Caenorhabditis elegans: one gene and its partners. The protein of the gene in region 1 purifies or fractionates together with the protein of each later gene. This does not show direct contact. Each region holds a gene or a part of one and is shown on either strand. Other genes may lie near its edges.

Region 1 (7,347 bases):
AGTTGGAACCAATTGATTTGAGCTTCATTATTTTTGAATTTTCTAAATAGTTAAAGGTCTATATCTCAGCAACCAAATTTTTTACAAAAAAGTGTTTAACTGAAAAGTTTTAGATCACATTGTGTTTAACAAGTTTTCAGTTGATCACTTTTAAGCGCAATTTTTTCCTGCGGAGATATGGAGTCTCAAAGACAAGGTGTTTTGCCAATATCGATTTGGTAAAACGTCTTGATACGGCATCAGAATAAGTGATTCGGTCATTGAAAACAATGAAAAATAAGTTATTTGTGACACTCTACAATATTTCATACATTTTTGAAAAAATTTCAAAAAAAATTTTTGGAACCAATTTTCTCATGGTTTGGTGGAGTTTGGTGGAGAAAAAAGTGGCAATTTTCGAAAAAATAAAAATTTCTGAAAAGTTTCCAGGGTAATTGTGGTTCAATCAAAAAGCAAAAAAGTAATGTAAAAACCTCAAAAAACTGTTTTAAACATTTGTTTCCCGTTCTAAAAATTTTGTATAAAAAAAGGCCAAAATTTAAACCATGTGTGGGAACCGAACCCACAAACTTTTGCTCAAGAGGCGAATGCGTTCACCACTCGACCACCGAAGCGATGATTTCACCCTTCCACCATTGTGGTGAGACTTCTGTTGGCGCCAGAGACAAAATCCACTGTTAACCATAGGAAATGCACTGATTTCAGTACTACATTTTCAGATGAAAATTTCCAGACTCACAGAGGTCTTCTGCCGAAACAAATCACAGATTCTGAAAGCCTAAAACGCCAGCTATCGCATAACACGTTTACTTTTACCCGATCGCACCACATAGTTAAAACACTCCCTAGTTAGTGTCCTGGTCATAATCATCTCAATTCTTTGCACATCACTTGAAACCGTTCAAATCTTTCTCAACAGCAATATGGGCTACACTTCATCGTCGCTCCCTCCAGAAGCGATGGCCACTTGGAAGTTCACGATGTAAAATGCTCGTGCGTGATGCTTTATTTCTTAGTTCGTGACTTGGCATTTGTCTGTGTCATCTTTTCCTCTGACCTGTTAGTATATTTCTTAAAATTGTTCATTTTTATTTGTATCAATTGTGAAATCACGACTCTGAATATGAATATGCATAACTCTCTTTCATATTGTCACCTTTTTCGATAAAGTCGTTGTATACTTTTATGAATAAACCGATTTCATGAAGTGAATCATTCAGCTTGCGCGACAATTTACACTAAAGTTTCACACATGGTAAATCATGAGAGAGCAAACTGTAGGGCGAGGATTTTTTTTTCACGAAAACTCTATCACTATGATTTCACTGAACAAACAAAGAGGCGGACATTTCAAAATTGTGGATCATATTCAAATAGTGGATCAAAAAGAAATATAGTTCAGTCTATCCAATGTCAACTAACAGGAAAGGTCGGCATTTGGATGATCTTCTATCTTTGTTATTATTTGACGAGAAAAATAGTCGAATTTTAGTTTTGTGCAGTTTCTGTCACACTTAAAGCTTTGTATATCGAGCTTTTTGTAAAGTATAATTTTTTTTCAAGTAATAATTTCAGTTAAAGATTCCAAAAAAGCTTTTTCCTATTTATTTCCCATTTATTTCTATACAGATTTAGTTTGTATCCTATCGTAAGGATTGTTTCGAACTTAACCTAAGGAGTTAGATAAACTAAAGTAACCAAGTAATGACGTTTTTAAATGCCGGTAGAAAATTCTATCGAAAGCCACTAGACTCACTCCAGATAAACATCTCACAAAGTCGAGTTGAACCGCTGTACACTATATAAGCATGAAAAATGATTATCTGACTTCAAAAAATGCTTTCTATTTTTTACTTGTTCAGAAAACATGTTCTTGCACGTTTCCTAAATTACATAAAATCGAATGATGTCCTAAAGTTTTTACGAATCCGAGTGGGTTGCCACAAAATAAATGAAATTAGCTCAGGATGCCTACGATTTTTTAGTTTCTGTTTTCTCAAGTTACGTAAAAAGTTTCAAACCACAAACTACTCTGAACTATTTCACAATGACGTAAGTATAATTTGATCTACCTGTTATATCTTTTTTATCTTTTCTGTAAGTATTTTTCCGGTTAAAAAATGTTAATTTCAGTCACAAAATGCATCATCATCACCATCACGCACCATTCGCCATTGCTGGCCTTCTGATTATTGTTACAATACTAACCGGAGTGGGAACTTTTACAAATTGTAAGTTTGGCAAATTGTCGTTCCCTGAAATGCGAAATTTATTCCTAGATTGGGGTGTTTCTGGAAACTTGCACATGGGAATTTATCAATGGGGACAGGCAGGCGCGAACAGAAGTTTCCAAAGAAGTGCGGGGTGGCTGCAATGTGTCGTGGTTTGTCAATTAATGGCATTCTCATTTGAGCTCTTGTTTTGTCTTCTTGTCATACCTGCAATGTAAGTAAAGTTTAAGACAAGTGAAATTGAAGACAACTTATATCATTTTACTTTACAGAGTTTTCCGAAGAATGATGCCGGTTCATGCAGCGTGTACTCTTCTCTCCTTGATCATATTCATTTTACTTCTTATTTCCATCATTGTATTCGCGGCAAATATTGGAAGCTTCTATTACAACGCATTGATTTCGTTAAAGGTAAATTAGTTTTGAAATTCAATTTTTTAAAAGTGTGATTGTTCAGCTCGGATGGTCATGGGGAATCACTTTGGCTGCTACAATTCTTTCATTTCTTTTACTACTAGTATCTGGAAGTGCAACTGGATATGGAGCATACTCGGAATACCGATAAATACTTAACTTGAACATACTTAACGCAAAAGCTTTATTCATGACAAAATAAACAGTATTGACAATTGTACAAGCTCAGTTGAATTCGTCTAATCAATGGAAAACTTTGAGTTTGAAATAAAAATTTATTGTACGGCCCACAAAGGAATCCGTTTTTAATTGATATTTTTATATATTATCAAAATACATTCAACATAAAAATAGGAATACAATCGAAAAATGTTCAACAAAGAAAAGCATCATGTGTTTATGTCTACTTGTTACCTGCTATAAATTAAAGTTACGTATCATGAGTTCACTTTTGATGATAGTTATTAAATCGTATGAAATTTTTTTCATACGGACCAAAAAGAAATATTAGGAAATTTACCCAAAAACATCGAAGGACTGAGTTACCCGACTTTTGAATGCACCAGCTTAATAGGATCTTGTGAGATACTGTTTCAAACGTGCATTACTAACTTTCTGGAAAACGGTTTAATTTCGCAATTTTGATGTTCCAAAAAATGAATACTTTGTACCTTTTGTTTTGTTTTTCTGACGTCATTTCTGATAGGTATGACTCATTTTATGACTCGGGCACTACTCAATTCCATTTAGAAAAAAACTGACGTGAAGAATAGTTTCATGAGCTCTTCAGCTGACTCATGATGTCGTATACATTGATTCCTTGACTCTGATTCATCGTCTCTTCTGTTTTCTGTGTCTAATGTGACGAGCAGCTGTCCTCGGGATCCCGCCATAATACACCGTGGACCCACATAAAAAGAACATTGAAAACACTGGCAGGCAGATGGAGGAGACGCCCCTTAGGACCCTTCTCTTCCTCATTCTGTGTAATTGTCCAACAGATTCTTCACGTCCTGTAACTAACAGCTCTCGATTATCTTTTCATTCTTCTATTTTAGTAAATTGTGAATATTACAGATATGCGTTCAGTTCTTATTGTTTGTGCACTTTTCGGCGTTGCTGCCTCCATCGAAATGTTTGGTCGCGATCAGTCTTCTGCTGTAAGTTTTTTGACAATTATTTAATTTATTAGTATTTAATTTAAAGTTTGTTTTCAGGTTCGTGGAAAGTTGATTTGTGATGGTCGACCAGCTTCTGGAGTTTTGGTAAAACTGTGGGATAAGGATACTTGTGAGTTATTAATCGTACTTAATTGCACACTTGTAAATAAGAATATCTATAATTTAAAATTTTAGTGGATTCTGATGATCTTCTCGATTCTGGAACCACGGATGGAAATGGAGACTTCCACCTTGCCGGATGGACTAAGGAATATACCCCAATTGACGTCAAGCTGAACATCTACCACGACTGCAATGACGGAATTAAGCCATGCCAGAGAAAGTTTGGAATCAAGATCCCAGATTCTTACACCTCGTCAGGAAAGGTCCCAAAGAAGGTTTATGACGCTGGAGTTATTCAACTTGCCGGATCATACCCAGGAGAGAGCCGTGACTGTATTCACTAAATTTTTGTCTTATTCTTCTATTGACTTATAGGCTTTTGTAATAAATTGTAACATTTTATTGTAATATTCTGCTTGAAATCAAAGTTACATATTTATGAATTTGACCTATCATCAAAAACGAATAATAATTTAAACATACAACTTTAAAACTTTAAAAGATGATAGTTGTTCAACGTGGGTTTTTGCTACTACGTTTCAAGCATCATAGTTCAGAAACCCATCACCATTACTCTAGAAATCGAAATGTCTGCTCTGCTTTCAAAAAAGTAGTTTGCAAGATAATTAATTTCTATGTTGGCTCACTCAGGTAAACTGAAAAGGAGATAAAGAAATGTTAGTTAGTTTTTCCTTATTAGTTAATAAAACTGTTTTTCTGCGCAAAATATATGTCGATTTGATTTATTTTCTATTCAATTTGGATTTTTTTAAAGATTAAGTTGTATCATTTTATTGTAATAATCAGCATGAAATCACAGTTACATATACATATAAATTTGACCTATGCATCATCGAAAATAAAAATTTTAAACATACAATTTTAAAACTCATAAAAAAGGATAAAAGTGAGAGTGTTCAGTTAAAGAGAAGTTTATTGAAGTATCTGGAGCAATGAAGTAGTCCAGTACGGCACATTTCTGTTGTCCTAACAACCGACATTCGATCTGCCCTCTCAAAGTTGCTACGCACCAGTTCATAGTATTGCCCATCGGAAAGAACAATTGAATGAAGCATGAGACATTTCATACGGAGCACGTCAATGAATTTACTGGAACAACTTAGCTTTATTGAAGATTATAGTTTTCAATCTTGATGTATTTTACCTCGATTTGTCTGAGAATCTAAGAGTTTCATCGTCCCATCTCACTTCAAGACGGGTCAGTCTTGGACAATTCTGAGCGATACAGTCGACGAATTGATCAACATGGATTTTTGCAACCACTTTTGGGCAGCAGTCTTCAGCTATTCCCATAACCATTACTCTGAAATGTTTCTGTAGCGCTTCCTTTCATACTCCGGTACAATTTTGAAGTGTATTACCATAACAACTACTTGCTATTATTTAGTATTTTTTTAAAGCAAATTATGTCATTTGAAAAAGGACCTTTTAAATAGGTTGCTACAAAAAATTTAGCGGCACTTTGAATCAGAAAAAAACTGATCAGAAAAAATTCAGTGTACTTTTTTCTCCTTTTTCAAATTGGTCTTTTGTGGTTCAGTGCTTTTCTTATTTCTAAATTCTGTAATGAAATCTAATTGAGCGTTCTTCTTCTTCAAAACACTCATTTTTTTCGGAAATCTTAAAGTGACCTGAAATACAGTAGTTAGAATCTATTAAAATTTTCAAGGACATTTGAAGGTCATCTTTATAAGATCATTTGAGTTACACTTTTTACACTTTGAAATACAACTACTTTCAATGAAAAATTAACGTTTTCTTCTCTGATTTTTACGGTCACCGATTTTCAGTTTTCAATAAACTTTTCTAATATCATTTCTGGTGTTTGATGTGATGCGCTGTGTATTTTCTTGTTTACATCCTACCTAATGTTTCTCAATTGTGGGATCATATTCATCCAAAAATACTCAAGAAGTTTGTGTTGTCCTCCCAGACAAAGTCCGTGGAATTGGTGCCCGTGTCTTTTGATCATGTCAACAAGCGCTTGTTCATTGATCGAATCACATGTATCCATGTTCAAGAACTGCAGGCTTCCCATTGCATTTGAGTTCTGCCATGCTTCCAATACTTGATCAGTCATGCATTCCAACCAACTGGCGTCCAACCAACGAAGATGAGGGAGCCGAGTGAGAATTGAGATAAGCGCGTCGGAATTTAGTTCGGTACCTTTTATGTCAAGCTCTTCAATGCGTGTTTTCTCCCAGTCCACCATTTTGACAATGTTGTTGTCGAGTTCTAAAATTGTAGAGTTTTTTCTGCTTAAATTGGTCCAAAATGACCCAATACTACCAAATTTTGTAAAAATCTGAAATAAAAAGTTTAATTTATTTGTTTTTAAAGTGTTATTAAAATATTCGGTCTTTTGGGGCTATTTTGAGGCTAGTTTAGGCTAAAATAGGAAATTATTTGAGTTTCAATTGAATTTACTAACATGTTCCAACAACTTACGCAAAACTATTTTCAAATGTTTTTGAAAATTGTTATTTTTGACAATTCCCTTCAAATAAAAGGGATTACTATTAAATGAAGAAAAATGTGCATTTCGTGGTCTTCAGTATTTTTTTAATTCTTCAAACTTTTGAATTTTGTATTTTCCCTATAAGTATTGCATGCAATTTCAGTCCAATAAAACTACTTTTCAATAAATTATTTCAAAAGAAAGGATAGTTATTCTTCAATCAAAAATATCTTTTTGAAATTTAACTTTTTAATTATTAAAAAGACTATCAGTTCTCAATAAACAATAAAAAATAAAACCATGTTAAAACATGATGTTTCCAATTGCTTCTAGTGACCGAGTGAGTTCACCTCTAGTATTAACTAAATTCTAATAGAGGTATCAAATCTAATAATCTGATAGATATGATAAATTTAATAAATAAATCTGATAGGAAATTCACAGAATGCCATCTTACTTACTTGTGTGAGCAAGAAATAGCGTCTTCAGTTTCCTGCATCTCTGAAGTACTAGTTTCAAACAAGATCCAGTTACTTTTGGGCAATAGTTTACACACAGGCATTCCAGATGAGCACAGTTTGATGAAATTGCGTCAACATGTTCATCGGTTATGAATGGGACTCCCCATAGATTTACAACTCGCAAGTTTGGCAAAAATTGTTTCAATTTGAACACGTTCACCGTTTCGTAAACTTCCTCTTCTTCATCTTCCACTTTTTCATAAGTTCCTGTAAAAAGTGAAAAAGTTCACAAAAGAAAAAAGAAATGCCCCGAACCAGGATCGAACTGGTGACCTTACGATCTTCAGTCGTACGCTCTCCCAACTGAGCTATCGAGGCAGTCGTCTCCCTACTTTAGTAAACCATAGACATTCCTCTTTTCCCACCACACGTACATGTTTTCTCTTTTCTCTCTTTACTCTATCTGTCTTATTTTCAAA
Region 2 (7,758 bases), 3.4 Mb from region 1:
TCCTCTTCATGATAAACCATTCGTCATTGATTCATTTAGAAGTTTTTATCTTATTCATCTCACGCCTTAATCGCATTTTCCAGCAAAAGATATTCCATCTTTTTTCATCTTTTTGTTCATTACCATTTCTATCTTCTCATTAGTCACCAAATCTGTCACTCTTTCTGTTCAGTCTTCCATTTTCCAATTACTCATCGATAAGTTAACACCCACTCTCTTCTTGTCCATTTAAAAACTACATAAATGAGAAGTGGGTCATTCGTTCATTACCTCTCGTCATTGTCACCCCCCCCCCCTCCTACCCCCGCTCCAAAAAAGTTGTCTTTGTGGGTGTTTCTCCGTGTTCGCATTTCCAATCTTTTTCTGTTCGTTTCTGTTTTCAATCTCTTCCGACCGAATCAATCAAGTTTATTGAAAAGTGATTCTGTGCTTTAGGTCTGCAGTCGGATTGCATTCCAATATGCAAATCGCGCAAAGGTTTAGGGTTTATGCAAATTGAATGTGTATGGCACCTTTTGTGAGTGAAACTGTGTAGGAACACGTAGGTTAACGATGTTGCACTATTTTTTTAAGAAGGCATGGTTCGTGGTAATATCTAGGTACAACCCCATAATTTGCTGACATAAACAAACTTCGTAATAAAACTTTTCAGAATTTAGAAAAAAATCGCCTAATGTTAGGTAAAATTTTCAATTTTGGCCATTTTTTTATATCGCAGCGACCCAAAGTTGACTTTTTTCTGAAATATCATTCTATATTGCATAATTCGGTATTTCACGTTATTTCTATAAGTAAGATACATTTAATGCCGATAGGTGACTAAAAATAATTACCTAACGGCTTTAAATTTATCTTCACAAAAAAAATTGCAGAAATTTGGAGATTTTAGCTAAAATTAGGCGATTTTTTTTTGAATGTTCGAACCATCATTAAAAAATTTTGAAAAAATTTTGAAAAGTTGCATTGCGAAATTTGTTCATTTGAGCACACTTTGAGTCTCTACGTAAAAAAAACCCCAGTTTCCAACAGAAACTTCTTATTTATTTTCAATATTATCCCGAAACGCACTATTCAAAATTTTTCGGTACACTTGCTTATCAAAACCAACAGATACTTGAACAGTACTATCACTGACGTATAAACCAACGGTCATGAAATGTGTACGATTTAGGTAAAACGGCGATTTTGTTTTCCGAATATTCAAAAGCACTGCTTATCGTTTTTCATAAAGCGGAGAGTAAATGGTGACGTAATCAAAGTTCTATACTATACAGTTTGAACTGGTTGGTACGAAACTGAAAGAACAGAAATTTCGCTTTCACAAACTAATAATAATACTTCAATTGAACCCCTCTTCTTTTTCATTTCACTTTCGATTTTCCAGTAGTTTCTGGAACCATCGCATTTCTTCTGCGTCCTCGAATTTCTTTTTTTTTTGCATTTTTCGGTTTGTCCTTGGCATTTAGCGCATTCGGTATTAAGTATTAGGGCGTCAAGAATTGAAGATGGCAACGAGATATATTCTTATTCATTCACACAAGTGCCACACCCAATGTAATGTTTTGATTCACTCTTGTCCTTTTGTTCAATCTTTTAACCAGGCACTACTCAATCTAGATCAAATTTCCGCCAACTAAATTTTAGGTTGTGAAATTTGAAGGAGAAAAAAACGAAAAAATTCGCCCCTAGTCAAAAACCATATTTGCCAACAAGGGCAAAATGACTAATGACGGAGGCAAACCTTGTCCGCCCACTGTTTCTCTCCATCAAAAGATGAGCTCAACGGTAAGCATCGAGGGGCACTCCCTGTCTCGTTTTCATGTTATGCTGAGCACACCAGTCGCGCCGCGTCGTCCCCGAAATCAAGTCTCCTGTTCACTGTTTTTTTTGGTTGCCTAATTCTTTCCTTTGCCCATGTTCACAAAATTGTGTTTTTGTCACCGCTTGACTTCGATTTTTAACAGGGTAAGTAGCTAAAAAAAAAATGAAGAAGAAGCGTCATGTCTCGCCCCAATAAAATCATCTGACGTAACTAGGAATGGTAAAAGGAAGTTTTATGCTCTTCCGGTCTATGTCGACCAAGTGTCGAACTATCAGAGTGATCGATAGATTAAACATTGCGCCAGGCGTGAAGGAAAAACATTACCAAGTAAATTTATGGCGCACAGTGATCTTAGTATTACGGTTGTAGATTGTGATTTTATTTTGTTATTCACTTCTTACATTAAAAAACGATGCAAAAACATTTTGATTAATCACTTAGTTAACTTTTTCAAGCTGCTTCACTTTTGAATTTTAGTAGTTTAAAAGTGCAGTGACCATATATTTTTAGTATGTTTCCCATGTGTAGTAATTTTTTAAAATCACATTTGTATTTCAAACGTATACACCAAAAATGAACTCAAATGTACGAATTCCGTCTTATAACTTTTTTTTTCAAATTTTTTTTCCATTTGTTCAAAAGTGGTTCAAAATTTTGCAAAAAATCCCTAATTTTAGGCAAAATCTCCAATTTTGACCAATTTTCCCTGACGCAGCAGTCGAAAGTTAACGTTTTTGAATGGTAATTTCTTATTGCATATTTTGGTATTTTCACTCACGTTATTTCTTGGAATAAGTTTGGAATAATAAGTTAACTTTTAGCCAATAGGTGATCAATTTTTGTCATTTTGGTCTCCTATCAGCATTGAACGTATTTCAATCAGCAAAATAACGTAGGATGAACAATCAAAATATGAAATGAAAGACTAGAATTTGGAAAACATCAATTTCCAACCGGTGCGCGACGGAAAAGTTGGAAAATTTTAGGATAGTAGCATAATTTTTTCAAAACTTTGCAACGATTTTTAGAAAATTTTAAAAACTTTCTAGAAATTTTCATAAAAAATTGTTTCATCTTAGCGCATTTTGAGACTATTACGAGAAAATACTCCGTTAGTTCTTTTTTAAAAGTGAAGTGAACTTATACCAGGTCTGTTCACATTTGTAGTCATTTTTATGAAATATGTCGTTTTTCAAACTTAACAATAGCGAGAATTTTTAAAATCTAAAATTTAAAATACTAAAATGTGAATTAATTATATATTAACATACATTTCAAAGCGTGGAAAAATTGCGGAAAACGAAAAAAAACCCAAAAATAACACATTGCATTTGGGCAGTATTTCGAAATCAAGAATCATACACTTCTTTACTTTTCTTGCACTTTAATAAAATCACGACATTTTCTAGCACTTATTATCAGATTATACCGAGTTGAACATGATTCAAAATTTGAAATTTCAGTCTCAGTTGCACCGTAAAAACCATAACAGTATTTTCTTCCTATTCTCTTTTCGCCATCAAACTTTTGCATAATCTCTTCAGTTCTCCATACGCTTCCTTATCACCACTGAAATCGGCATAAAGGGTTATAAAAGTGAAGCGTACAACACACACAGGTCAGTCAGTACAGGCTCCATAACCACGCCTTATCTTAAATCACCATCAAAAGTGTAATTGTTGGCTGATAACTCGGCGACGCCCGCCGTCGGTCATTTCTCTTCTAACGAAACTGTACGATTTTCTATTTTTCTTAAATTATACGTTCTAATTGTTCATGCTGTTTAGTCATCACACAACTAGTGGGGCTTTCTCCAGGTATTTGTTGAATGTTTCTATTTCACCAATGTCTACCGGTTTGAGTCATAGGTGAATTGAAGAGGAGGAGGAGGCAAGTGTTAATACAAATACGTACTTAGTTTCAAAATTTAAGTTTCTTTTTCTTTCTTTTTTTTTTGATTTGCGGAGGCAGTTTTATTTGACTTTGTCATAATTTATAATTCATTTCTGTCACCCCAGGCCACTGAATTCTCAAACTGCTACGCCTTGATCAAAAGTGAGGAGAACTGTGTGGCATTTACGTTGACTCTAATTCGAAAAGATAACAATTTTCATAGGCGTCGCATTTTCCTCCTTTGCCTCCCTGTCCTCGCTGGTTTGTTGTAGTTCTCCTCCCAAAGACCGGATTCAAAAGGTGGCATCCCAGAAAAAAAAACGTTCACCAGCACCCTTGACATATGCCTTACCCTACCCTTCATTCCATTTTATTAGACCCCCTTATTGCAATATAAAATTTCGATATTGCTGTTGTCTCTTTTTTTCCTGCATTTTTTATCTTGATACATGCATTACATCATCACCATCATCATCACCCATCTCCAACCAAATTACCTAATTAATTTTTACAAACTTTGCATAAGTTACTCATTCTGTCGTCAATGTGTGCTCGCCTACAACGACATAATTCATCGTCTTTTTCTCCATTTCCTCATTTCAGTTGAACACAATGGTCGTTGAGCAGAAAGAGCAAGAGCCTATTGTCAAGATGCGCGACCGCAATGTCAACGCTGCTGCACATTCTGCGTTGGCTCGTGGAATTGAGGCACTCAACGAAGGAGAAGTGACCGAGGAGACGGAAGGTGAAAACTCTTCTCAGATTCAGATTACTTATAGCATTGGTTTTTTTCAGAAATTCGCAAGCTGGACACCCAGCTTGATCATCTTAATGACTACATGTCTAAGATGGAAGAGCGTCTGAAGGCACACAACGACAGAATGATGGAGACGTTGAAGCAGCAGAAGGAAGAGCGCGAAAAGAGACGTCGCAGCTTCCACGAGGTAAGAATATTTTAATTTGGAAAGATAAAAGCACCTCTATTTCGCTCTTCTAGCTTTTTGCAAGAGTTTGGCAAGAGTTGAGCAAGAGTTGCGCAAGACGTAGTTTAAACTATTCAGTTTCACCTAGCTTTTGAAAAACTTTAGACAAAACTTTTTCTGTGTCTATTTTGAAGTGGGTAAGAGTTTTACAAAAGTAAAATCAAATCTTAGTAAGACCAAATCTTACAAGATTCACTGCACAATCACTAAATCAAATGTTTTCATTCCCTTATCATTTGCAACTTAGGGTTAAAGTCCAAACATCCATACTTTCAAACCTCGAAAACAAATTTTAGAAAGCCACGTATTTTCTCACGTGAAACATAACAAAAATTTACTAAAACACCCTGAAAGTTTAGACATAGTAAAAAAGTTTTTTGAATGAATGAAACCGTGGGAACTGCAGTTTTGAAAGTTAAACAACTAAACATCGCAGAACATTTTGCAAAAAAAAAAATGAGTAACCGGTATTTTTTTGCAGCGTATGTCCCAAAATCAATCTGAAGATGAGGAGTTCAAAAAGCAAATGAGCAGCATCCTGAAGAGAGTTCAATCTGTCAAACGCACCGAAAAATAAACCAGAATGCTTTTCAATTGGTACATGTACACTATTTAATGTATTACTTTCATACCAACAACATCCTCAAATCATTCACATTTTTAACCTTAAAGCTGTTTCGATACGAACTGTTGGAAAATGATTTGGTTCCTCGTTCTCTATATTTTTCATTCACTTTTTTTAATCGAACTTCCTTATTTTTTTCCTGTCCCCTGTCCCCCGCTCTCCACCACTTAACCACTTAACTATTAACTTTTTCTTTTCAAGCTTTGATCGTTCGCCGAATTCAATGCAAATATGTTTGGAAATAAAGTCAACGCCGCGTTCCATGTGGCACCGCATTGAGATGATGTTTAGAATAAAAGGTTATTGTTGTTCAGGAACACCGTTGTCAATGCCGTATACACATTGATAAGAGTCAGAATGAACTCTTGTTCTTGGAAGGGATCTATGATATCTTGATCCTTCCGCAAGAATGCGTAGTGATATTTGTAGTCCGTAAAAGTTTGATATTCAAGTTTGTTTATCTGATCGTTTGGCGTTGAAATGAAAATAATCATGCAAATTTGTGAAAAATAAATGTACTTTGGAAGCTCAATGAAAAAACTTGATTGGAAAAAATTCAAAAAAATTCTCAGAGCTTACTCAGCTAACTAAAGCTAAAGCTTACTTAACAAGGTGGAATTGAATGAAACACTTTTTGAGAAAACTATAGCTCTGTTCCATTTCCAGATTTCTACAGTGTTTGTTTTTTAAAATTCAAAGGAACAGTTTTCTGATCGACGATTTCCAAAAAATTGGCAAAAACCGAGGTTTTTCCAATTTTCAAAAAATGCCTTTCAATTGAGCTTTTAAACTATGATATTTTGGCACTGTAAAGCCATAGACATGTTGTGAAGAAGTTTTCCCACTGGCGTTACTCCACCGTTAAGGATAATTAATTCCGAAAATTATGAACCAAAACTGAACCTGAACTGTAAATTTTTGAGTTTGAAAATTTCAATTCAATTTCTACAATCATCAAACTTCCCTTTCCAAAATTATTTTTGCTTTCTTTTCCAGGTTTGTACTCCCTCCTTCTCCACTACACACCACAGACATTTTTCCAATTTTCTTCGCAAAAATAAATCCAAGACAAATAAATCTGTCTAGACGATGTCGTAAGTTTAGAAAACACTCCAAGAAACATCTGACACCCAAAAGGTGAATTCACGTGGATATCAGAACCGGCATCTGCCCTTCTGAAAACACCTGTACACGGGTAAAGTGTTGACAATATCCCGAACTTGTGTTCGTTTTTTAGAAATGATTTGCTTTCTACAACATCCAGTTGTTGATCTCTAGGACGCTAGAAGTTTCTTTGTAGATATTTCAAGTAGACACTTTGTCCTTTTTGGATGTCTGGTTGGTAAAATTGCCTGTGAAAAAGGAAAAAAGATTGATGTTGTCTGGTTAGTTTCATATTATGACTCAACTTTCTCAGACATTCCATTTTTTTTCAGAGTTTGTGATAAGGCTGGTTTTATGTGTTTATTGGTATAGTGTTACAACTTATTTAGCCTTACATTAAGCGTGTAAGAAAAAAGTGAAAATATTTTAATTTTGGCGAAAATATACAAAAAGTTATGGAAAAAGCAAAACATTCACCCCCTTTACTAACATTTCTCTTTTAAGAAAAAAAAAAGAAATTCAATTCATTCTGAAAGCTGCATTGCTTATAAACTCCAAATCCTCATGATTAAAACAAAGCAGACGATAATCGTTCTCAGTCAATACAGGGCCGCACGTTTCAAGCCGAATAATCTTTTTCGAATCTAAGTCCATCCAGAAATAAACCGCTATAATCTATTTTACTTTGATACAAATCCGATTGTGAGCATTGTCTTAGACTTCGAGAAGCCAACAGTTGCGGATTGAAGATTTGAACGATCAGTGGGATTTTTTTAATGGGATTTTCTTTTTTGGCAATTATGAAAATGGTATCTACACAAAACTAAGGCTTGGTAGTGCTCAAATGAACGAATTTCATAGTGAAACTTCCCAAAAAGTCTATAAAAAATTTTGAAAAATAGTTCACAACAACAAATCAATTTCGAACCGCTGCAACACACAAAATGATTAAAATTGGAGAATATAGTTAATTCGTTCATTTGAGCAAGTTTTGGGGCTACAATTTCAAAATACCCAGAAGCGTTACTCCTTTTGTAACTAATAATGTTTCTTGTTAAGTACAGGGTTTGTATCACAAAAAAAAATCATCAAGTCATATACCCTTAGGTTCATCAAATGAGATAACCCTTGAAAATTGAATTTACAACAATATTTGCTTCTTTGATAATAATATGGGGATCGAAGGCCAGTGCACTTTGATTTTCATGTGATAAAACCCGTAGTGTTAATTCATCAATGATGATAGGACAAAAACTAAAATATTTTATCATATTCACGGAACATGATATCCTAATACAGGTCAAAGATAATTATCAAAATGATTGCCTGAA
Region 3 (7,652 bases), on another chromosome or scaffold:
AAATTGGCCATTTTTGCCACTTTTTAATAGTTTTTGACGGACTAAACCTAGATTTTCTGAATTCTACATATATAAATTACCCGTTTTCAACAAATTTAGACAACTTTTTATTTTTGCCCGTTTTGATTTTTCAGCCATCTAATGACTGTCCTTTTTTTTATTTTGGGCAAAAAAATAATTGTCCTGAAAATGTTCAAGGCCACTATATTCTGAAAAGGGGCAATTTTTCAGTGTTTACAGATCAATTTTGAGTCCTCTTACTGCAAAATTGCCCATTTTAGAGGAGTTTCAAAGTTGTGATTTTTTGCCAGAAATTGGCCATTTTTGCCACTTTTTAATAGTTTTTGACGGACTAAACCTAGATTTTCTGAATTCTACATATATAAATTACCCGTTTTCAACAAATTTAGACAACTTTTTATTTTTGCCCATTTTGATTTTTCAGCCATCTGTCCTTTTTTTTTATTTTGGGCAAAAAATAATTTTTCTAAAAATGTTCAAAACCACTATATACTATAAAAAAGGAAATTTTCAGTGTTTACAGATCAATTTTGAGTCCTCTAACTACAAAATTGCCCATTTTAGATGTGTTTCAAAGTTGTGAATTTTTGCCATAAATTGCTCATTTTTGCCACTTTCTAATGGTTTTTCATGGGTTAAACCTAGATTTTCTGAATTCAACATACATGAATTACCCGTTTTCAACAAATTTAGACAACTTTTTATTTTTGCCCAAATTTTTTTTCAGCCATCTAGTGTGCAAATACTCCGAGCTCGACGAAAAATCCGTCGTAAGTAATTACAAGCTGCTTCCAATGCCTTGCTCAATGTGAGCAAACCTGCACACACGCCCAGCTCTAATTAACGTATCTTGCCGATTATCCGGCAGCAGGTGTCCTCATTATGTTTTCCTATGGCTACCCCTACCTCGTCTCCATTTCCAATTCTCCGTTTACCCCCAAAATCTCTACAAAATGCACTACAAATCATGGATCGCGTGGATTTGTAAGCCATTTTTTCCCCTTTCGATTATCAATTTTTTGATCCCAAATTCTTTTGCAGATTCTACTTCTCATTCGTCTCACAAAAGTGCAAAAATCTGGCAATAGCTCAGAATATGAAAGGATCCAGTATAAACGTGATATTTGTCCCGAGAGTGGAACCGATTATCCACATTACTGTCAGATTAGCAGACGGAAGTGTTGCTTTTTTCTATGCTGATGAGCGACTTGATGAAGACGGAATCACTGAAAAACTTTCAAATACTTTCTCAATACGCTACCCAAATGGATTAAGTTCGACGTCTGTCTGAAAAATGGAAAACTCTAAAAATTGAATTAAAAGTGCTCATTAATCATTTCCAAGCATTATTTCATCTATCAAAGATTCAAAAGCTAAATCCCGGCGAGCCTAGATCGGAATCGATTTATCCAGCATTTGATGGGATTAAGATAGAAGTATTCGAATTATCTTTATGTAGACCCCTTCCCTACTTTGTCTGGAAACGAGAATTCGGAAATTTTCTAGATACTGTCCAGAAGATACATATCAAGTGCAGGGATACTTCTTATGACAGCAATTCTCACATGCGGAAGGTATTATTGGAAAATCACGATTGTGTAGAGTTCCTTAGAATGGAAACTTCGTTATTATGGATTACAAACTCCACTATTATAAAACTAAACTACCAAATTAAAGCCCATCTCTTAAATGAGTTCTTCAAACACTGGATTCATGGATCAAACCCAAGGATGAAACTTTTCGAGGCTCTCATTGAAACTAGACACTTGAAATTGAAAAAGTATATTCAAAAAGTATTCAGTGGTATCAAGTACAAAGGAAAATTGTCTTTCAAGCGAATCAATGGAGTTATTGAGAATCAAATATCTATTGAAGGTTTTGACGGAAAACTCGCAACAATTGACATAAACATCAATGTTCGGAGGATTTTAATGCAAATGTCTGTGCAGTTTTAATTTTGATACTATTGTAAGGATACCCACCCTTTTCACTTCACATTTTACATAAATAAATACTAATTTATTTGCCTGTAAATTCTCTCTGATAATTTACAGAAAGAACGGACGAAATCGGTCAAGGACAACGATTTCTACAGCGAGGACAATTCGTGTGGAGGAGAAACTCCAGTTCAAACCGCCGCCAAGCTGTCGTTGGTCGCATTGTCGCGTCGAGACCCGTCGTCGTTAAAGGCTGCGCCTTTAACCCGGAAATGCCTATATAAGGAGAGGAGGACGCTCATTTGTCATCATTTCTTAACTCTTTGACCCGTTACTTGTCGTTTTCCCTTTTCTCTCGTTTACTCTGTTTCGACGATGCAATTCGTCTGTTCCCTTTTACTTAATAAACCCTTATAAGATCGATCAGTGTGCGTGAGTGGCAGTTACATCCTATACCTTTATTCTATTAATAAAATAATTCTATTGATTTGATTTATTACCGATTAAACTCGTGATGAAATAAAATAAGAGTTGTATTGTATAAAGACATGGATAAACTAAATACATAATGTTGTACAAAAACAGTATTAAACATTCTTAGAACTATTATATTCTGACTATTTTTTGTTCAGATCGAAATTTACAGGCTTATCTTCTAGTCCGCCCTTTTTAAGACTTCACACAATTCAGGCCTATATTTCGCAAAATTCAGCAAAAAAACTGGCGTCATGGTGCATCGACTATCGATTTTTCGTAATTTTCAGCCATTTCTAACCCATTTTTCAGATATTTTCCCCTTTCTCCCAATATTTTATCTCATGTGCATCGAATCCATTGGTAAATGATCTCCTGATTAGCGCGCGCGAATTTCGATTTTTTTGCAAAAAAAGAGATCTACAATATTCAAAAAGTTCGAATTTAAAATATTCTTTACGATATTATGTCCTTTGAACTAATCAATAACTAGACAAAAAAAATCGATAATTAGTATCTAGGCGGCTTTTGTCTTGATCGTGAGCCCATGCATATCCTTAATCTGCTCCCGGAGAATGGAGGTGACCTGTTTGTGTTGAGCAACTTTCGATTTTCCCTTGAAACCGGCGGCTTCAACGACCACGTCGAACATTGATCCGCAGCCATCTGTAATATGGAGCTTGTAGTTTGTAGTGTATAGTTTGTAGTTTGTAGGGTATATTTTGGAGTTTGTAGTTAGTTTTGTATAGTTTGGAATTTATAGTGTACATTTTATAGTTTGTAGTGTTTAGCTTGTAGTTGGTCGTATACAATTTGTAGTTTGTAGTGTATAGATAGTAGTTTGTGGATATATTTTGTAGTTTGTAGTGTATGGTTTGTAGTTAGTGTTGTATAATTTGGAATTTATAGTGTACATTTTATAGTTTGTAGTGTATAGTTTATAGTTTGTAGTGTTTGGCTTGCAGTTTATATTTCGTAGTTTGTAGTTTGTAGTTTATAGTATACAGTAACTAACTTGTTTTTCATTATTTCTACCATTAATTTTGTGAGCGGAACAAAAAAATCATGAATGAATACCCCACGTATAGACTACAAACTACAAATATTAGTCTGATTATACTAGTTTATAGTATGTCTATTGTAGTTTGTAGTGTGATTATTGTAGTTTGTAGTGTATATTTTGTAGTCTGTAGTATGCCTATTGTAGTTTGTAGCGTACTCACTAGAAACATCGTGAACCTCGACACGAGTACATCCATCAATTCCCTCAGTGAGCAACTTGCTCATTTTCAGCTCGGCTTCTGACATTTTGTGCTCTCCACCACAACATGCCGAGTGACGCCTGATTGCTGAGGAGAGGAGGCCTGATCTCAGTGGGGTGGCAAGGCGGAGCATCTGAAATTTCGAGAAATGATAGCTTTTTTTTCGATTTTTTTCAGATTTGGAGAGAAAAAAAAACAAGAAATTTCACATTTAAACAAAAAATTTGTTATTTTTTCAAATTCTCGAGGTTTTTATAAATTCTGAAAAATGCCGAAAATTCGTAATTTTAGCTTTTTTAGTTTAAAAATTAGAAAAAAAATTGAAATTTTCGAAAAAAAATCAATAAATGTTCTATTATATATTATTATTATATATTTTATATATTATTAAATATTATTATATTATTATATACTATTATATATTATATAATAAATGTTACATTTGTTCTATTTTTCAAAAAAGTAATTAAATTTTTTTTTTTCGAAAAAATTTTCAAAAAATTCAAACTTTTTTAAAGATTTTCTAGAATTCAACTTCGACAAAAATTCGTAATATTTGAAAATTCCAAAAAATTACCAGAAAATGCTTTAAAAGTTAAAATATTTATCTAGTTAATTAGAAAGTATTCCTTTAGCGAAATATTCAAAAAAAACTTTTTTTAATCAAATTTTTCAAATTTTACATTCAAAAAGTCACCTGCAATGCATAATTTACATTACATGAAATTGAATTTTTTTGATTTTTTTCCCAATTATTAAGCTTTTAAAAATTAGCTTAAAAATACAGATTGTCAACATTTTTCAGAATTTTTTTGTTGAAAAAATGCGAATTTTCTCAAAAAAAAAAATCAGTTTCAAAATTGTGAAAAAAAAATTCTAAATGGTTTTTTTTTAAATTTAAGCTTCCGTGATTACTATAACATTTTCAAAAAATTGAGGAAAAAATTCAAAAAATGTTTTTAATTTTTCAAAAAAAAAAGCTCATCCTAAAAAACACCGTAATTAGCTAACTTTTTCAAGAAATTCAAATTTTTTTTCCAAAAAAAAAAAAAAAGGCAAATAGCATAAATTGATATCCTAAATGGACAACAGAAAATATAAAAATCAGAAAAAATTTTTCAAAAAAATACTTGTATTGCATTGTAAAAACGTCATTGCACAATCGAAAATTCGAAAAATAAAAGACCACGTAAAATACAAAAAATCGGGAAAATATCCAAAAAAATCAGTTAAAAAGTACAATTATCGTAGTGTAGCAATCTTTGGAATACTCCTCTCATCATGATAATCACTAACATATCCTAAACTCGAACCATCTTCACTTGTATCCCCTAATATTCGTTGTTTCTGTACTTGAATTGCTGCTTCGGATTCCGGAACAACTTTTTCATTTTTCACCAAATTCGGCAATTTTTCTTCACTCGTATTCATTCCACAATGCTTTTTTAGTGACCATTGCATTGCCCAAATCGATAGAGGACGCATGTAACCAATGGCTCGGTAGAATCTGAAATTCGGATATTTTAGGATTAATTTTTGGGATTTTTTAAAGAAAAAATGTTTGGAAATAAAAAAAAAATTCCAAAATTATTGTTTTTTTGGATATGAATTTTTTGTTTCTATTTTTAAAAATAAATTTCCATTTTTTGGAATTAGTTTTATGAATTTTTGCTTTTTTGAATATCCAAATTTTTCTGGAATCAAAAAAAAAAAAGTTTTAATGTTTTTTTTTAATTTTTTGTAAAGTTTCAAACTTTTTTTTTTGGGATTACGAGTATTTTTGGAAGTTTGAAAAAATAATTTTTGATTTTTTTGGATTTTTTTCTAATTTTTGAATTTTTTTTGGGATTTTTTTTAGAAATGTGTGGAAAATTTTTTTTTTTTTTTTTTGGAAAAATCTATTAAAAAAAACAAATTTCAGTTTTTTTTTTCAACAAATTTCTTTTCCTCACAATTTTTTCGATTTTCAGTTTTTCGAGTTCAAAATTCGGGAAATTTAAATTTATCGTTTAATGTTTTATAAAACGTATTATATGAACACTAAATATGCGTGTTGCACAACACATTTAACGCGCAAAAAATATCTCGTAGCGACAACTATAGTAATTCTTTAAAATGCTACTGTACTGCTTATGTGGATTTACGGTAATAATTTATTTCACGATCAAATATGACTTACGAAAACTCGAAAAAAAAATTCAATCCGAAAATCGAGCCCGTAAATCGACATTAAGAAGTTACTGTAGTTTTCGCTATGAGATATATATATATACGCATTCTCAGAATTTAGTGTTCCCGTAATCATATATACATATACATATACATATATACATATACATACATATACATATACATATACATATGCATATGCATATACATATACATATACATATACATATACAAATACATATATATATATATATATACATATAGGACTGCTCCATACTACAAACTAGATAGTTTCTTCTTGAATTTTCAACATCTCACTCACTTCGATTCATAAAGTGCTTCAGGCGTCTGATATTGTAGTCCAGTCTCCTCAAAACATGTCAGATAACTCCCCGACGCCGTATGAAACGCCTTTTCCACTTCTCCCTGTTGAATAAGTAACGATGCAACTGCATAAGTAACACCCGTCCACATTTCATCAGCCTGAATGTACTCCCGATCTACGACTCCTGACGGTTTCATTCCATTTACTGCACCCATTCGTCCGTTTCCAAATTTACACACATTCAATCGATAAATCGTATCCAACGCTGATCGGACCATATGATTCGGGAGAAGCTCGTCGGCTAGTTCAGGAGATACTGATTGAAGGAACCAATAACCACATAGTTGATCAGCCATCACTGTTTCTCTACTACGGGATCGCTCACAGAATCGGAAGTAGGTTCCTGTCCATAGAGTGTCGATGAATACCTTTTTCGCTTTTTCGAGAGTATTCCTGAAAAAAAAAATGATAAAGTAATGTATAAAAATCGAAATATTTTCCGATTTTCCGATTTTCTAAATTTTCGTTTAAAAACTTCATTCGCAAATGAAAGAAAAATTGCAAAAAAATTCACGTGTTGTCAGGTGTTGTCCCATATCGGTTTGATCTACAAAAAATGCGGGAATTCAGACGTAGACTTCTCAACTGATTTCGCATGCCGACGTCACATTTCTTTGTGGAGAAATTCCCGCATTTTTTGTAGATCAAACCTTTATGGGACAACCTGACACCACGTGAAAATTTAAATTTGAGTTTTTTTTTAAAGTTATGGTGTTTTTCAGAGAAAATCAAAAAATCGGAAAAATGGAAAAATTTTAATTATAAAATTGACGTTTTCCGATAAAATTAACTTAAATGTTTGAATTTGTTTCATTTTTATGATTTTACAACGAAAAAGTCCGTAAAAATTGGTGAAAATAAAGATTTTAGCTTGGAAATTTCAATTTGGTGAGGCTAAAACTTTGTAGTTTGTAGTCTGAGCCTCAACCAATACGTTTTTTTTTCGGTTTTTGAGCATTTTTCCATTAAACTCAACTTATTTTGATAAATCTCTTGTTGTTCTTCAATTTTTTTTAAATTTTCTAACAAAAAAAAACAACAAAAAAAAACGATTGGTTGAGACTATCACTACAAACTACAAAATTGTAGCCTCACCAAACGAATTGTTATGCTCAATTTTAAAGTTTCAGCCTATTTTTACGATTTTTTAAAAACTTTTTCGAGGAAAACGCCGAAAATCATGTAAATTTCCGTCGAAAACGCTCAAAAACACAAGAAAACTTTTGGTTGAGGCTCCGACTACAAACTACAACTTCGCTCAGCCTCACCAAACTCGGGTGTCAAGCAAAAACCGTCATTTTTAACCAATTTTCTTCCAATTTTTTTGCATTTTTCATCAAAAATCAATTCATTCCGCACACCTGAACAGCTGCTGAGTCTCATCATCCTTCATAAGCCCGGCCA
Region 4 (7,765 bases), 1.2 Mb from region 1:
TCCATCTCGTCCATTCCCTCGCCAGTGTACCAATGAAGGAAAGCTTTGCGGCGGAACATAGCTGGAAAAAATATGAAATTAGTCAAAATACAAATCGTAAAATTTTACCTGTGAACTGCTCTGAGATTCTCTTAAAGAGCTCTTGAATGGCGGTGGAGTTTCCGATGAATGTTGCGGACATCTTTAATCCTCTTGGTGGAATGTCACAAACTGCGGTCTTGACATTGTTTGGAATCCAGTCCACGAAGTAGGAAGAGTTCTTGTTCTGGATGTTGAGCATCTGCTCGTCAACCTCCTTCATGCTCATTCTTCCTCGGAAAATGGCAGCAGCGGTGAGATAACGTCCATGTCTTGGATCGCATGCAGCCATCATGTTCTTTGCGTCGAAACATTGTTGGGTCAGCTCAGGGACAGTAATGGCACGATACTAAAAACTAAGTTATCACAAAGTTGTTTTTTTTTCATTATTCAAACCTGCTGATTGCTTCTGCTAGTCAGTGGTGCGAATCCTGGCATGAAGAAGTGAAGACGTGGGAATGGAACCATGTTCACTGCCAACTTTCGTAGATCCGCATTGAGTTGACCAGGGAAGCGGAGGCAAGTAGTGACGCCGCTCATTGTGGCACTGACCAGATGGTTAAGGTCTCCATATGTCGGTGTCGTCAGTTTCAGAGTGCGGAAACAGATGTCATACAAGGCCTCATTATCAATGCAGAACGTCGAGTCGGTGTTCTCGACAAGCTGGTGGACAGAGAGGGTGGCATTGTAGGGTTCGACTACAGTGTCGGATACTTTTGGACTTGGAACTACCGAGAAGGTGTTCATTATCCGGTCAGGATATTCCTCGCGAATTTTTGAAATGAGAAGGGTTCCCATTCCAGATCCAGTACCTCCTCCAAGTGAGTGAGTAAGTTGAAATCCTTGAAGGCAATCTGTGCTTTCTGCTTCTTTTCTGACAACGTCAAGAACATTGTCTACAAGTTCTGCTCCCTCGGTGTAGTGTCCTTTGGCCCAATTGTTTCCAGCACCGCTTTGACCAAATACGTAATTGTCTGGACGGAAAAGTTGTCCGAATGGTCCAGAACGGACAGAATCCATGGTTCCTGGCTCCAAGTCAACAAGGACAGCTCTGAAAAACATACAGTTAGGTAAACGGTGGACAAAATCGGTATATGTCAAAAATCATGGAAAACGTCTAGATCAAAAAATAATTTCATGAAAAATTATGACAAAACAAACTATATCTATACCTTGGAACATATTTGTTGCTTCCGGCCTCATTATAGTAGACGTTGATTCTTTCGAGTTGAAGATCAGAGTCTCCCACATACTGGCCAGATGGGTCAATGCCGTGTTCATCGGATATTACCTCCCAGAACTGAAATTGCTTGGCATAAAGCACAACTAGGAACATTATAACTGAAAATACTAACCTTCGAACCGATTTGATTACCGCATTGTCCGGCTTGAATATGAACGATCTCGCGCATGTTGCTTGAAATTTGGACCCGACGTTTCTTCCTCTACACCTACAACTTCTTAGCAGGCGATCACTGGCGGAACGGCTGCCTTGAGGCTCGACTGACAACGGACCAAGACAAAAGATGCGACTCAAGACGAATAATGGGAGGAGTCACATCTCGGTGCCCCATCACTTATTCATGAGCTCTGCACCACGCACAGCCACCATCATATCTGTTGTAGTGTGTGCGACCATCGCTGCGCATCATCAACAAATGCATGGCATTCGAATAATGAGTGGTCCGAGAGAAACGAAAGAAGAAGGAAAGAGACGAGATCAAGATCCAACACAAAAAGCCATTTTTGAATTGTGCCATGAATTTGTGAAGAGACAACTGGTGGGGCGAGGGGGTTAGGAGTCATCACAATGAGTGCACTTAATGCATTGTGGATGATAGTTTCTGCATTTTTCGCGCTGTGTTTCAAAAATGCTACACACAAAACGTTTCATCTTGAAACACCCGAACAATACTATAGAGAGATTAAACGGTAAAAAAGGTGATGAGGATATAGCAAACTGACACAAAATACAAAAAATTGATAAGATAGAAGGGAAAAACGATGAGGTGGGAAAGTGCGGGGTGTTGAAAGCTCTTAAATTTAAGAGTTTTCATTTTGAATGGAGATTTTGAGGTTATCATATCACAATTGAAAGTCAGAAATCGAAGGAAATGGCAATTATCAGAGCATGTGGTGAGTACCAGCGTTTTGCAGCTTTTTCTGTTGGAGCCGACGTTCGTGCTCTTGTTGTAGCTGTTTATGGTGCTCTTCGCGGTGCTGAAATACACAGAAATGACAGGTTTACATTTCTAGATTACTACATAATTTTTGTTTTTTTTTTCTAATCAGCGAGCTGTCTTGAGTATCAATTTCTTTGCTTAAAATTTCATACATCATTGGCTAAACGACGAACGGAATTTTTTTTGATAATAGGTAATATTTTTTCAAAACTATTTTCTAAAGTACATACCTCTTTCAAGGTGCTATCCAAATCGTCATCACCCCATCCGAGAAGATCATCATCGATATCTCCAAGTGTCGGCGTAGCTCCCTGAAAAAAAAATGGATTGCAATCAGGTTTTCTTGTCTTTTTCCTGCATCACCACAGCGACACCTTTTGTCATTAGAATTTTTGTCTCCTCTTCCATCGCCCAGAAATCTTGTGAACGCGCGAGAAAAAAAAAGAGTCAAGCGCGTCCCCGGCATCTCTTTCCCGCAATTTGCGCCGCCGTCCCGACCGATTGGCGGCTATTCATAAAAAGTTGACGAACAACTAGATAGAGAAGTAGAAACAGACACAAGACAAGAAGAAGAAGGAGAAGCTGTTGAAGCTAGCTGAAGAATCCATTCTCAACAGGACTCTCCGTGGAAAAAATTAGGGGAGGAGAACAATCGAATACCGACTACACTGATTAGCAGAACGAGTATATTGTTCTTCTTTCGTTATTCTGTTTACTCGTTTCCTCGCACACTGTGAAAGCAAAATCATAAGATCGTCATATTATCATTGTCATGATGAAGCTTGTAAAAGTTATGTTCAAAAACGGTCCATCGTGAATTAATTTTGATTTTATAATATTCAATGTTTTACGTTTAGGTTGACCATATATATATATTGTAAATCGAATTGGTGATTTCTTCCTAGCAATGTTTTTTTGTATATCTCCTCTCTTCAAAAGCCCACAGTAAATCAAATTGTACCGTTTATGATTGTTCACATATCAGCACTAATCCGTTCATGAAAAAATGCTTTTGAAACCTGAAACAGATTGTTCAATCTGTTTCAGGTTTTAATTTAAAGTTAGCAGAAGGATAACTGTTAAAAGTCAAGTAGTAGGGTGCAATACGGTTAGAAGAAATAATAATGAGAGCAGTTGGTTGCATTAGAAAAAACAAAAATTAACTTCATTCCAAACATTTGCAGCGTCATGAACAATTGTTTCGTTTCTTTATCGAATAAAAAACTAAATAACTTGTTTTCTCAATTAGAATGTAATCCTCAATTTGGTATTTTTTTGAAATTTACTATACTGTTTGGAACGCAATTTGCGCTTAACTTTAATTGAAAGCCATGTATCAAAAGCTCAACGTCGTGAAATGTATGTTCATCAAATTATCTTATCTGAATTTTTCATGACATATTACAATACAAATTTTCTTAGAACATCTATAGTACAACCGTGTAAAATGGTCATACATGTTGCGTACCTAACGTAATTTCATGACGTTCTCCACCCCCAGCTGAATGCCAGATAAAAAATACCGCTTTTTTGGTGGCTTGTTAGTTCCTCGTTAAACGAAAAATACTATACGATAAGATACTTGCCATTCGATTTCACATTTTTGAATCTGTATTCACTTTCTATCCTTATCTTTTGCTGCGCATGTTTACGTTTACGAAACGGGCGGCCATGAAAGGTTAAATTCAGATATGATGAGGGGCGGGCACAACTCGCGGCCATCGGAAACAGGTTCTAAGGTTCACAGAGAAGCCCTTCACTTCTTCATAATCCGCCATTCACTTCATATTTTTCTGCGCGTGAAATCTGCTCGGATGCCATTACACTAAAATTTTATTAAACTATATTAACACAATCAGGCTCACTGGACAAAAAAGTATTTGTCCCAAGATGCAATTAAAGATCCAGTTTTCCTTGACCTCGACCTTAGCCAAACTAAACAGTAGCTAACGCGCGTTAGTAGTATAATCAGTTCTATATCACTGAAGCTGGAAACTAGTCTTATCGCTTGATGTTTGAAGAATGCCCGTCCGGCCAGACACCCAAACCGGGATAACAATCACTTTTCCCCTATCATTCACGCCTTTATTTCACAAATTCACGAATTCACCTTTTGTGAAAGATTGCAAGATTTGAATCTCACGAATCTCCACCCCCCCCCCCCCTTTTTCCAACTTCATTTCATTTACAAACCCGTCCCATTCTGCCATTCTGTTTGCATTTTTTTCTTCTTTCAATTGCCATCGGATTCAAGATAACCACATATTTCAAAAGCTTTTTTCAGAACCATGCTGAAATTGGTAATAGCGTGTCTTCTTCCTACTGTTGTCTATTCGGCAGTTCAATGTTATGTTGGCCAGAAATTATTCTCATACGAGTCCACAAATGTAAGTCAGAATTTTCATACTTCTAAGAATTTTCTAATTATCAAACTCTTCTAAAAGCCAGCAATTTAGGCGATCTGTGCCAAATTCATCCCATATACGTGTGCGGTGCAATGCGAATGGCGCAAGCAATGTAATGAACATACGTCGTTCTCCACTTTCCGCGGACGTCGCACTTTCGTTTCTGGCCTTCTCCTCAACTCGAAATCCTTGATGGTTTTGTGTTGCGCTTCATTGGCTACTAGAGTGGAGACAGGTGAGGATAATGTAACAAGTGACTAAGACTCACATCGGCGAGAAACTCAAAAACTAGCTGCCATCGCAAGATTAACACGACCAAAATGTTGCGTTTTGCAGACAGCAGCGGTCGTGAAAAGTGTATCTGGAGAGACACCGAATCCATTTCCGTCCTTGGTCCATCCATCAGAACCAATCCGGTGTTGGCACCAAACCACTACATTCGGTAAGCATTCTCTAGTTAACTAGCATTTTCTATAACAATCACTTTTTAGTGACGTTAAAATGGAACGCGACGGAAGCTCCCGTGTTGATGTAACAATTGAAGTTTGCCAATATCAATCAGAAAGGGATCATTGCAAAATTGATGTAATTCATTAATATAGTTAACTGTTCTTACTATTCCATGTTACAGGAGATGAGTGAATTCGAAAAGAAGAGATTCAATGTAATCAAGGGAAAGCTTGATAAGGCTGCTAATGAGAACGGCGTCACAACGACAGAAGCACCGACGGAAGTGAAAAATGAAGACGATTTTCTCAACAAGAAGCTCCTCAATTAACTAGTTATCTCATCTACAGCGTACCTCTTATTTATGTATAAACATTGTTTGTTTTGACATCCTAATAAATATATAAACCAACCCAAACTCACCACATTTGCTTCGTTAAAGTCAAATCTGCTTTTCTTGGGAGCCGTATCACGGAACCCGCCTCGTGGGGCCAAGACAACCTGGAAAGAAATTAATTTTCCCAGTTTGGAAAAAGTATTTTTAATATCAGAATGCATTGTAAAAACAATTATTTTGCGTTGCAATTTTCACAGTACAAATACTTCTTCAGTTCAGTTGGTTTGTATTTTCAGAGACTAATTTGCAAGGGAAAAAATTGAATGCTACATGTTTTCCTCTTGCTGGGATTATGATTCAAACTACCAAACGAAAACATTTAAAATGCGGAATTTATAAAAAAGAGAACTAGACAAGTTCTAATTAAACGTGGTTTGCAAAATTACTAGAAATCTTCTGCCTTGAATTTTTTGTTTTTAGTTTCTGTCTAGATGAAGTTTTAAACAAAGTTGATAATTATCAAATGTTCCAAAAAAAGTGTAAAATATACTATTTAAACTATAACGTTTAACGAGTTCTGAAAAACAATTGCTACAATACAATTTGGTAGACTTTATTGAGAAGTGACAAGAGCGAAGCAACAAATGGCAAAATTTTGATTTAATATTGAAAATATTACAAACTAGTTAGCATGCTGTTTCACATTCAATTTTAGTATTCGTGTGGAATTTATTATTCTCACATTTTTAATTTTATTGAATTGATTTTTCATCAATATAATTGAGACTAACGTTTTTTTTCTTTAAAATACATACTTTTCTGGCGCTGGTAATAGTTGGCTCTAGTGTGCTAAACAAGTCGTCATCTGGTTTGGTGTGGGTGTCCGGTTTCTGAAATTAAATAAAACACGGTATAGATTGTATGTATTGTGCCTGCTTTTGAATTCACCTGAGCATTACTGTTTCTCCATTGCTCAATTTTGTCGTTCACTTCTTCCTTTTTATCCCAGTCATCGTCTCCCCACGAATCGGTGACTTCATTTTGAAGCAGTGATGCTCGTTCTTCACCTTTCCTTTCTGTACGACCGTTGTCGACGACCACTGAAAAACTTTATAAAAGTGGTGCTTTTCTTTTAGCCTGACCTTTTAGGCTGCGGTTTGATTTTAAAATGAAAAATATATATTCTACTTGTTTCTACTATGCAAAACAGAGAAAAAAAAGAAAAAATAAAACAATAACTTTGCTCAACCCGGAAAAAAACCCAGTTTATTTCAATCGCTCCATATACTTTTCACACAAATTGAACATCCTTACTATACTTGGTGTATACAATTATTTAAAAAAAACAGGAGTTTAAGGGGGTCTCCTATTGAATTTTGTTCTGACACCCAGGCAGCAATGTTTTCTTCGTATGCTGGTAAAGCTTTACCTCTTGAACTGTAGCGCCAAAAATATTGACAACGCTTAAAATCACATTCAATAACGGCTTTTTGATTTAAAATCTTAATAGCAAAAAAAAAGAAAAGCATATGTGAAAAATTGCAATTCTTTTTGTGGCTGGTCTTGATGTCAAGACTTCAAGTAACAAACGGTATCGGAAGACAGCAACCCATAAAAGAAAATTCAATTTTAAGAGCTCTTTGTATTTATCTTCTTTTATTCCTGCACCACATTAGAAGCTTTGCCACTTTTGGCAACATTTTCAACGTTAACACTTCAGTTTTTATTTTCAAAATTTTTAATGAAAAGCTTACCCTCAAACGGCAAGTCATCCACATCCATGCGCTTTTTGTTGCGATTCCCATTGCACAAATTCCGAATAAAAGCAATAATCAATTGAAGGAGACGCATCGTCGACACGTATACTGCCCGAACAATTGACATCTAAACTCGCATAGATTGTATCTATTCCATGGAAAATGGAAGAGGAGAAGAAGCGCAAGTGGAAACGACAAATATTGTGGAAAACCGTGAGAGTCCACAAGAACTCTCAGTGCCCAATAGCAGAAACGGTGAAAAAACGCCAGTGATACAATGGCAAGAAAGAAGAGACGCAGACAATGGTCGTCAAATGGGGCACATTGACCGCAAATACTCTCACAGTGTACTAGTAACACCAAACGGGAGAGGTAGATGGATAACGAGTAGTCATGAGGCTGTTGGGTGAGGCTCACATCAGTTATTGATTTGGAGTTGTCATCACAGAAAACCAATTGTTTATTTGAAGGAGTATGTGAGATTTTGTTCAATTTTAGAACACACAGGTGTATAAACTTAACAAAAATTGCAAAAACCGAGAGTTAAAGGAAAAGGAG

What was found.
Region 2: the proteins of ttr-6 (region 1) and bbln-1 fractionate together in Caenorhabditis elegans (co-fractionation; one large-scale study listed by BioGRID). This does not show direct contact.
Region 3: the proteins of ttr-6 (region 1) and Y105E8A.11 fractionate together in Caenorhabditis elegans (co-fractionation; one large-scale study listed by BioGRID). This does not show direct contact.
Region 4: the proteins of ttr-6 (region 1) and ZK154.1 fractionate together in Caenorhabditis elegans (co-fractionation; one large-scale study listed by BioGRID). This does not show direct contact.

The regions. Positions count from the first base shown.
Region 1 is NC_003284.9:6,593,495-6,600,841, reverse strand, and holds ttr-6 (Transthyretin-like family protein), read left to right. Parts: upstream 1-3,720; 5' UTR 3,721-3,724; coding exon 3,725-3,805; intron 3,806-3,862; coding exon 3,863-3,935; intron 3,936-4,000; coding exon 4,001-4,272; 3' UTR 4,273-4,417; downstream 4,418-7,347. Other genes in the region: hic-1 (Lens fiber membrane intrinsic protein), read left to right, coding at 2,141-2,231, 2,280-2,445, 2,504-2,642, 2,689-2,796; fbxl-4 (F-box domain-containing protein), read right to left, coding at 4,846-5,038, 5,094-5,252, 5,815-6,184, 6,869-7,135.
Region 2 is NC_003284.9:3,149,022-3,156,779, reverse strand, and holds bbln-1 (Bublin coiled-coil protein), read left to right. Parts: upstream 1-4,318; 5' UTR 4,319-4,327; coding exon 4,328-4,460; intron 4,461-4,510; coding exon 4,511-4,659; intron 4,660-5,179; coding exon 5,180-5,275; 3' UTR 5,276-5,632; downstream 5,633-7,758. UniProt on the Caenorhabditis elegans protein: Dynamic component of the endotube in intestinal cells, interacts with intermediate filament and regulates intestinal lumen morphology.
Region 3 is NC_003279.8:14,428,968-14,436,619, reverse strand, and holds Y105E8A.11 (BolA-like protein 3), read right to left. Parts: upstream 3,830-7,652; 5' UTR 3,828-3,829; coding exon 3,656-3,827; intron 3,099-3,655; coding exon 2,950-3,098; 3' UTR 2,870-2,949; downstream 1-2,869. Other genes in the region: hpo-13 (Non-lysosomal glucosylceramidase), read right to left, coding at 4,937-5,201, 6,186-6,641, 7,610-7,652.
Region 4 is NC_003284.9:7,775,077-7,782,841, forward strand, and holds ZK154.1 (Apple domain-containing protein), read left to right. Parts: upstream 1-4,500; 5' UTR 4,501-4,549; coding exon 4,550-4,648; intron 4,649-4,717; coding exon 4,718-4,901; intron 4,902-5,002; coding exon 5,003-5,108; intron 5,109-5,157; coding exon 5,158-5,251; intron 5,252-5,297; coding exon 5,298-5,444; 3' UTR 5,445-5,531; downstream 5,532-7,765. Other genes in the region: mec-7 (Tubulin beta-1 chain), read right to left, coding at 1-61, 109-427, 475-1,129, 1,251-1,378, 1,434-1,490; ZK154.4 (uncharacterized protein), read right to left, coding at 2,203-2,298, 2,492-2,572, 5,537-5,614, 6,266-6,340, 6,399-6,550, 7,205-7,334.